Nothobranchius furzeri: one gene and its partner. The protein of the gene in region 1 purifies or fractionates together with the protein of each later gene. This does not show direct contact. Links are inferred from orthologs where the notes say so. Each region holds a gene or a part of one and is shown on either strand. Other genes may lie near its edges.

Region 1 (4,376 bases):
GAGGAACACCCGACCTTGGCGTTTTCTACACGGGTGTTACTGTGTACAGGGGCAGCTGTGTGGAGCTGAAAATAATGAACTTCATAACGTTACATCAGTATCGGCCCAAAAACTGCATATCGGTGCATCACTAATTGCAAGGTTTTGTCCAAATTACAACCACCCAAAAGCTCCACATCATCTAAAACTTGGTTTGTTTATTACCTAATCAAAAGTTAAATGACAACTAGATTATCATTTTAGCTAATGTCATTTGTTAGCTAATAAACACAACACAACACACCCAACCAACAAAACAACCCAGACAGCAGCTGTGTTTTTCTCACTAATATTTACTGGAAACAAGAATCAAAGATCCAAGGTCCTTTCCATCCTGCTGTAGGACATCTAGTAAAGTAACAGGATGTGTCATAAAATAGTACACAACAAAATACTTCGGTTGAATCTAGCAGTGAGATGATTTATGTGTAAAATTATTAGATTTTCAACCTTCTGACCCCCAAAATAATAACTTGTGACCCCAAATGTTGATGGCTGAACAAGACAAAAACAATTAAAAGGCCAAATATTCAAGAACATAATTGGAACACAAACAACTTCAACTCATACCACTTTTATATGCTTATGATTCATATTTTACAAAAATAGCTTGGAAATATCTTATTTGATCATTGTTTGAAAGTTTTATTTGAGTTTAATTTAGTGTTTTGAGACCCAACGTGGGTCAGGGTAAAACTGGAGAAACGATGTTCAATCAAACAACCGCTAAGATCTAACCCTAACCCTTTTACTCAAATCAGACTCCTCCAATGACCCTAGAGGGTTCATGTTAATTAGCTAAACCCTGTTTGTTACAGTGGCAGCGTTACTTGATGGGAGGAGGTATGTAAGGTAATTTAATGTGCAGAAGGGAATTTAAATTAATTCAGTTTAACAGCTTTGCTTTATTTTAACATATTTCTCTGATATTTTTCATGTGTTTTAGTTACATATTATTTTATGAGATATTCAAATGTTAATTTGAGAAGAAAATTACCATGGCAACCATCAACAGGTCCATCAAAGTCATAGTTTGAGATATTTTGTGATCAAGACATTTTTACTAAATATAAGCTTCTTAGGACAAACCTGTTTAAATTCCTCTTCTGCTTCATATAACCAGGCATGCTTCAGCTTCTCCTTGTCTTCTGCCAGATCCATTATCTGCTCAAAGGATGCGTTGTCCTCACTGGTATTTTTAGCAAGAAAACGGTCTAAACTGGGCAGGGTTTTCTCTTCCTGGTCATTGTTCTTTTTTTCTATGAATAAATAATTTGTTTTTAAAATACGATTAATTGCAGTTCAATGTGTACATGTCTATTCTTATAACAAAAAAGAGAGTAAAAACTTTTTTTTTACTATAACTTACCAGCATCTAAACCTTTACTACTGTAAGTTGTAGAGGGAGATCCTGGGTGACCCACTGGTGTCTCAAAGCTGGCAGGAGTCACATCTTGCACATAAAAAAGTAAAAACACAGCAACAATACAATCAATATTTACTTTAGAGTGAGCAGAGAAAACGAAGAAGCAGTTTTCTGCGCATCTGGTCTTCAGTTAGCCTAAAAGAGCATGTCACCCCTCTATTCATTGATCTCCATTAGCTACCTCTAGCTGCATGCATAAAATTCAAATCGCTAGCACTAGCATACAAAGTCCTGGATGGTACAGCTCCCATCTACCTGAATCCTCTTGCAAAGGCTTATGTCACGGCCCGGCCACTCCGGTCATCGAAGGATCGTCGGCTAGCAGTACCTACACCATGCTCTCTTTTCATGTATTGTTCAACAGATGTGGAATTACCTACCAAGCACTACTAGAACAGGGGCTTCCTTGTCGATTTTCAAGAAAATCCTGAAGACCCAGTTCTTCAAGAGAGCATCTTCTAATCTAGCACCCTCCCAGCACCCGTCCCCCACTCTACTGCACACTCCATGTTCGCTTCCCTCTTTGATTGGTTATGCTGCCTGTCTGCCAAGATTGACTGAATAGTGTTTGTTGTTAGCCTCGAGGGCAACCTGCTGGCTTGATTACCACCTGTAAGTCGCTTTGGACAAAAGCATCTGCTAAATAAACATAAACGAGGTGTGTTGAATCCCAACAGTTATTATTTTGTTTCTACTCACAAGGTACGGACGTTCGTGGGGTAGACTTGGTCAAGGATGATCCATATCTGATTGATATGTCTCTCATTCTCTCAAGATCTCCATTTTCCTCTGCTTCCAGGTAGTCCTTCTGCGCTTGTAGTTTAGTGACATCTGGAAAGAAGTCCCTCTGGATTATTTTCTCCAAGCTCTGTCAAGAGACCAAACATGAATAAATTAACAGCAGAAGGAAGCGTTTTATTACCAATATAATTATCCACCAAACTGTCACTGTACTAACAACTATGATTAAACCTTCATAATATCATTTACCATAACAAAATAAAACAAGCAACAGTCGAAATAATTTTGGTTAGCCTTATTAGCAAATGGGCCGTTTTTAACTGGAGCCTAAACTCATATTGTTTCAAGTCCCTTACCTGAATGTATTCCTCTTCATCGAGAATTTTTCTCTTCAACGTGTCCTTCTCCTTGTTCTCGGGATGACTGACAGCGACTGTCGTGACGGCTGGAGGTACGAGAGTCCCGGACAGTGCTCTCCTCACGCTACTGCTACCCTCCATTGTGGAGCCTGAGAGTTAGCGTTAGCCTTCAGGCTAGAGACGAGTCACGAGAATAACGAGAAAATAATCTCAGAAAAAAAACTGAGAACGATTTTTCACTTAATAAATACCGTTAAAAACGTAACCGAGGTTTTAAATAATTTCACACGGTGGGAATGGCGCTATATATATATATGGTTTAGAGGCTGACTTTTAGCCACAACACCAACGCACAACACAAAACGTTCTTCTTACGCAATTTAAGCGAGTACGTCACCGGAAGTTATTGTTCTAAACTAATTTCCAGTATAAAAGGCTTATGAAAATATTCTGAATATAAATGATACTATCAGTTATATCACAAATCTACAAGACAAAAACCTGGAATTTTACATTAAGAGATGCATGATCCCATCGTAGTCTTTTCACTTAGAATGACAATCTTTCCTCGGGTCTTTTTCAGCATCCGAAAACAAAAACTGATTTTTAAAAGTCTACATAAAGTTATGTTCTGAATCCTTAAACCAAACCGTTGTGTTCATTTTACTTACTCTTTCAAATTTTTTTTATTCTTTTATTCAACATTTCTCTCACATACCTGCTCCACTTCTCCAGTTTGATGCAAACATACTCAGACAGTATTCATATAATTATGTGTGAATATTTATGATGATAAGCTTTTCTGATAATGAAGATATTTGACCAAAAACAAACAAACAAACTGACAGAATGAATAACAAATGAAAAACATTAAAACAGTTTAAACTGTTCAAATTTATCAGCAACTCAGCATCCCAACTTATCAGAATGTATTATTATTATTGCCCAAGTTAATTAAAACGTAGTAAAATGTTTTAGAATGAATTTACATGATGGATTTTTGATTTAACGCACTGGTGAGTTTATTAATAAAGAAACAATAAAAAGCTTTTCAATCCGTTTGTTTTAATGATCATCTTGCTCTTATCACATTTCATAAGGATTTTTATCAAGCAAATAAATAAAAAAATCAAGTGGCTCAAACAAAAATGACACTCATCAAATGTTAAAAGACAATGTTTTAATGAGGTAAATATTAATGATGCTCCAGGAGTCATCAGGTATTGATACTTTAATTAAGACCAAAGGTGACAGATCATTTGCTGCTGTGGCCCCCAGACTCTCTCTCTGAGCCTGAGATCAGTGGACTCAGTGGTCTCCTTTAAAAAGCAGCTGAAAACTCACCTGTTCAAGCTGGTTTTGGTGTGACCTTCATCATCACCTTCTCCTTGTTCTGCTCTAAACCAATTACGCCTTATCCGGGATCCACTGATTTCCCTCTTTCCTATTCATTTTCTTTTTCCCTTTCCTTGCACATTTAAATCACAAATCTGTTTTTTATGTTTTTCTTCTAATTTTAACCATGTTTTTAAATAATTTTTTAAGTTTTTTTTGTATTTTGAATTTTCTGTTGTTGTGAAGCACCTCGTGAGTTTTTATCTTGAGAGATGCTAAATAAAAGATGATTTTCTTTAATTAAAAAAACATATTTATAATAATTAGGTTTTTATTTTTATTTTTATTTTTTTTTTTGCATGCAGGATTGATTTGGTTTTAATGTGTTTTCATTGTTCCAACGTTCCAGTAAAATTACTTAGAATTTTCAAAATAAACATACGAATAGCTATAGCCTATTTCAGAATTTCCTCTTA
Region 2 (3,688 bases), on another chromosome or scaffold:
CACACACACACACACACACACACACACACACACACATATATATATATATATATATATATATATATATATATATATACACAGTACATATACAGTATATATATCAATCAGCATAACAGAGCATAACTTTGCAACTTTGCGTGGAAGCTCAGAGTATTTTTTGGAAAAGTCTAAAAAATCTCTAAAAGCTCATTTATAAACCTAAAATTGTCTGGGATATATTTAATAAAGATGACATAGAAATGAAAATATCACAGTTTTAGCACACATTCAAGAAAATAATTCAAACAAAGAATCTACAGAAAATAAGAGCAAGTTGTACCTTTCCCAGAGACAACTTCGTTCTCAGTCCGCCAACGAAATCCAAACTGATGGAGACAGATTAAAACAGAGTTAAATTTCAGTTGTTCTCCATTTGTATATAATTCTGAGAATTACTTTAGTTTTGATATTTGGTTTAAAATGTTTTCATTAAGTCATTTTTACTATTACTATCTCTGGTGCTCACTCAGTTCTTTTGGTTCCTTCATATTAGTTATTCCTGTCAATACCTATTGATGCTCCTTTGAATCTCCCTTTGTTCTGCAGTTATTCATTATTTGTGTGCGTTTTATTTTACTCGCTGCACATTGTTGCATTAAAGTGTATGAAATGGGCTTTATAGATGAAGGTTGGGACTATCAGGCACAGTCCAAAGTTGGTTCCGATCATGTCTCAAAGACAGGGGTTATGTTGTTTCTATTGGTAATCACAAATCAAAGCAGATCACCATGACATGTGGGATCCTCCAAGGCTCAATTCTTGGACCACTGCTTTTCAATCTCTACATGCTCCCCCTGGGTCAGGTCATAAACAATAACAATTTTACCCATCATGGTTATGCAGATGACACCCAGATCTACATTGCTCTATCACAGGGGTCGGCAACCCCGGGCACTCGTGCCACAGTTGGCACGCAAAGGGTTAACTAATGGCACAGAGCATTAATCTGAGAAGATGTGTTGAAAAATAAATGTTGTAACGGACCGAATTTTCTGTTAATTATTTTTGTTTTCTTGTTTGGTCACTAAATGCGTTAAAAAGTTGAAACGTGAAGCTCTCACCTGCTCTATCACCTAGTGACTGTGGTTCTCTAGACTCACTTTACCAGTGTTTAGAGCAAGTTAATGACTGGATGCAATCAAACTTCCTCCAGTTAAACAAAGACAAGACTAAAGTTATTGTCTTTGGAAATAAGAATAGAATGAAGGTTATTGCTCAACTTAGCTCCAGAGGAATAAAGACAAAGACCTAGGTTAGAATCTTGGTGTCATAATTGATTCAGACTTAAGCTTCACGGGTCACAATAAGGCTATAACTAGATCAGCGTTTTAACATCTATCAAATAGCACGACTCAGGGGTCTCATGTCCAGACAAGACCTAGAGAAACTCATTCATGTGTTCATTTACAGCAGGCTGGACTTTTGCAATGGTCTTTTCGTCTGGTATTTCCAAAAAAGCTGTGAAGAAACTGCAGCTTATTCACAAGGCTGCTGCTAGAGTCTTAACAAGAACCAAGAGAACCAAGCACGTCATTCCTCTTCTTAAATCTCTACACTGGTTACCAGTAAACTATAGAATCGACTTAAAAGTGCTTCTGCTAGTTTATAAATAACTCAGTGGCATGGGGCCAGAATACATGCCGGATCTCCTTCAGGTATATACGCCCAGCAGGGCTCTGAGATCCTTAGGAAGCGGTCAGCTGGTAGAACCTCGGGTCAGAACCAAACAGAGTGAAGCTGCTTTTAGCTAATATGCTGCACACAGATGGAATCGGCTTCCTCATGACCTCAAATGTGCCCCAACTCTAGAAACTTTTAAATCAAAATTGAAACCTTTTACATATTCATTAGCCTTTGAATGGCTGCTCATCTTTTAACTTTGTTCGTTTCTTTTAATTTTGAAATCAAAACTTTTTTTGTGTGTACTTTCCGTCATGTTAATTTTTAATCTTCTTGCTATTCTTGCTCATTGGAAAACATATTTAATTGCCTCTGTGTATGAAATGAGCCATAAAAATAAAGCTGCCTTGCCTTTAATTTACTGACTGACTGATGTCACAGTAAAGTTTTAAAGACTGTTTAGAATAACTGAAGGTTTTTTGATTATTCCACATCACTGAATAATCTTTTTACACAGTTTCCATTATCATTCTGCATTTCCCTGGCAGTGTAGAGATTTTTTAAATTTTTTATTATTGTTTATTTATTTGGCAGACGCTTTTATCCAAAGCGACATACTTTTTAACCTATAGGGCATGTTGTGATCTGTGGGGGAAACCGGAGTACCCGGAAGAAACCCATACATGCGTGGGAGAACATGCAACTCCATGCAGAAAGACCACAGCCGGGGTTCAAACCTGCAACCTTCTTGCTGCAAGGCAACAACGCAAACAACAGCACCACCATGCAGTTGTTTTAACTCTTGTCTGTGTTTTTATACACAAGCATCTGACCCATGTGCATGTTCTGCTGTATTATGGATCAACTATTCCTTATATGAGCTCTGCTTCATTCACCAGCTCACCTTGTTTTCCTTGTATCTGCTGAGGTCAGCTATGCAGTACTCTTTAAACAGCTTGTCGTAATACTTCTTGGCAAGTTCTTTTTCCCTTCAAGTGAGATTGAAAACAGCACAAAAACCAGTTAATTTAACTGAGCACAAGCTAAATGCAATTTTTCATAAGAGAACTGATCAATCTGAAATCAAATTGATATCAAAGTCTCCTTAATGAGCAGCTGATTTCATGTGATCACCATGTCATCTCCTCCTCGTCCTCGTCCCTCCAAAGGAAGCGGTGGTTTTCACGCAGCACGTCCAGATCCGTTTTGTCTTTCGCTCTGAAGCAAATATTAAAGAGCCAAATGAAAAAGATTCGGCGTACAGATAAATTAATAAATTAGTGATGGATTGGTTGTAATTAAGTGTTTAACAAAACCAAAACAATGCATCCAAATGTTGTCACACAGAAAACAAATTGTTATTAATTTGGCCCTCAGAGACGGCAGACGATGGATTTTCAAGCTGTGAGGCAGATCACTTACGCAGAGCGTCTGAAGTCGGCCATCTGTCCTCCGTAATACAAAATGTAGTCACCAACAAACTTCTTATGTCGCTCAAACTGGAGTTTATTGTCAAGAAACTATTAAAAAAATAAGATTTTTGATTGTGTTACTATCAATAATAAAAAGATGGGTAATATACAAGTGAAGGCAAAGTTTTAAAGAAAGGATACGGCATTCATTGATATTAGGTGGGCTCTTCTGTTTCTAGCTTCTTCTCTGAAAAACAATAAGGAAGGGAGGACAGCATCCCTTTTAAAAAATGCAACAGTGTATTCAGGCGAATGCATAGCTGTTGAAGTGTAGCTGTGAGAGGGTCAGGGTTTCATCATTTCTAAAGTTTCATTCATTCTGTGGACACAAACAACAAGCAAAAACAACATCTAACTGAATCATTTCAGATTTCTCCTGTCAGTAAACTTTTTATTATCAAATCAAATTTATTTATTAAGCGCTTTTCATACAAATGCAGCTCAAAGCGCTTTACAGCGTTCAAAACAAACAGGCAGCAGTCGGTTTCCCACCCCTCCCACACAGATTCACATAAGAGATCCCCCTTTGTATCTCCCTCCTCCCACCCTCAATCCCA

What was found. The genes of interacting proteins can lie anywhere in the genome.
Region 2: the proteins of ess2 (region 1) and fra10ac1 purify together in Homo sapiens (co-immunoprecipitation; 3 studies listed by BioGRID and IntAct, counting the BioPlex papers as one, with this or other methods). This does not show direct contact. The link is inferred for Nothobranchius furzeri from reciprocal best matches to the Homo sapiens genes ESS2 and FRA10AC1.

What each region holds. Positions count from the first base shown.
Region 1 is NC_091746.1:52,058,962-52,063,337, forward strand, and holds the start of ess2 (splicing factor ESS-2 homolog), read right to left. Parts: upstream 2,931-4,376; 5' UTR 2,707-2,930; coding exon 2,563-2,706; intron 2,334-2,562; coding exon 2,165-2,333; intron 1,493-2,164; coding exon 1,409-1,492; intron 1,299-1,408; coding exon 1,129-1,298; intron 1-1,128. UniProt on the Homo sapiens protein: May be involved in pre-mRNA splicing.
Region 2 is NC_091756.1:37,044,645-37,048,332, reverse strand, and holds part of fra10ac1 (protein FRA10AC1), read right to left. Parts: intron 3,319-3,688; coding exon 3,273-3,318; intron 3,159-3,272; coding exon 3,082-3,158; intron 2,878-3,081; coding exon 2,794-2,877; intron 2,649-2,793; coding exon 2,564-2,648; intron 366-2,563; coding exon 320-365; intron 1-319. UniProt on the Homo sapiens protein: May be involved in pre-mRNA splicing.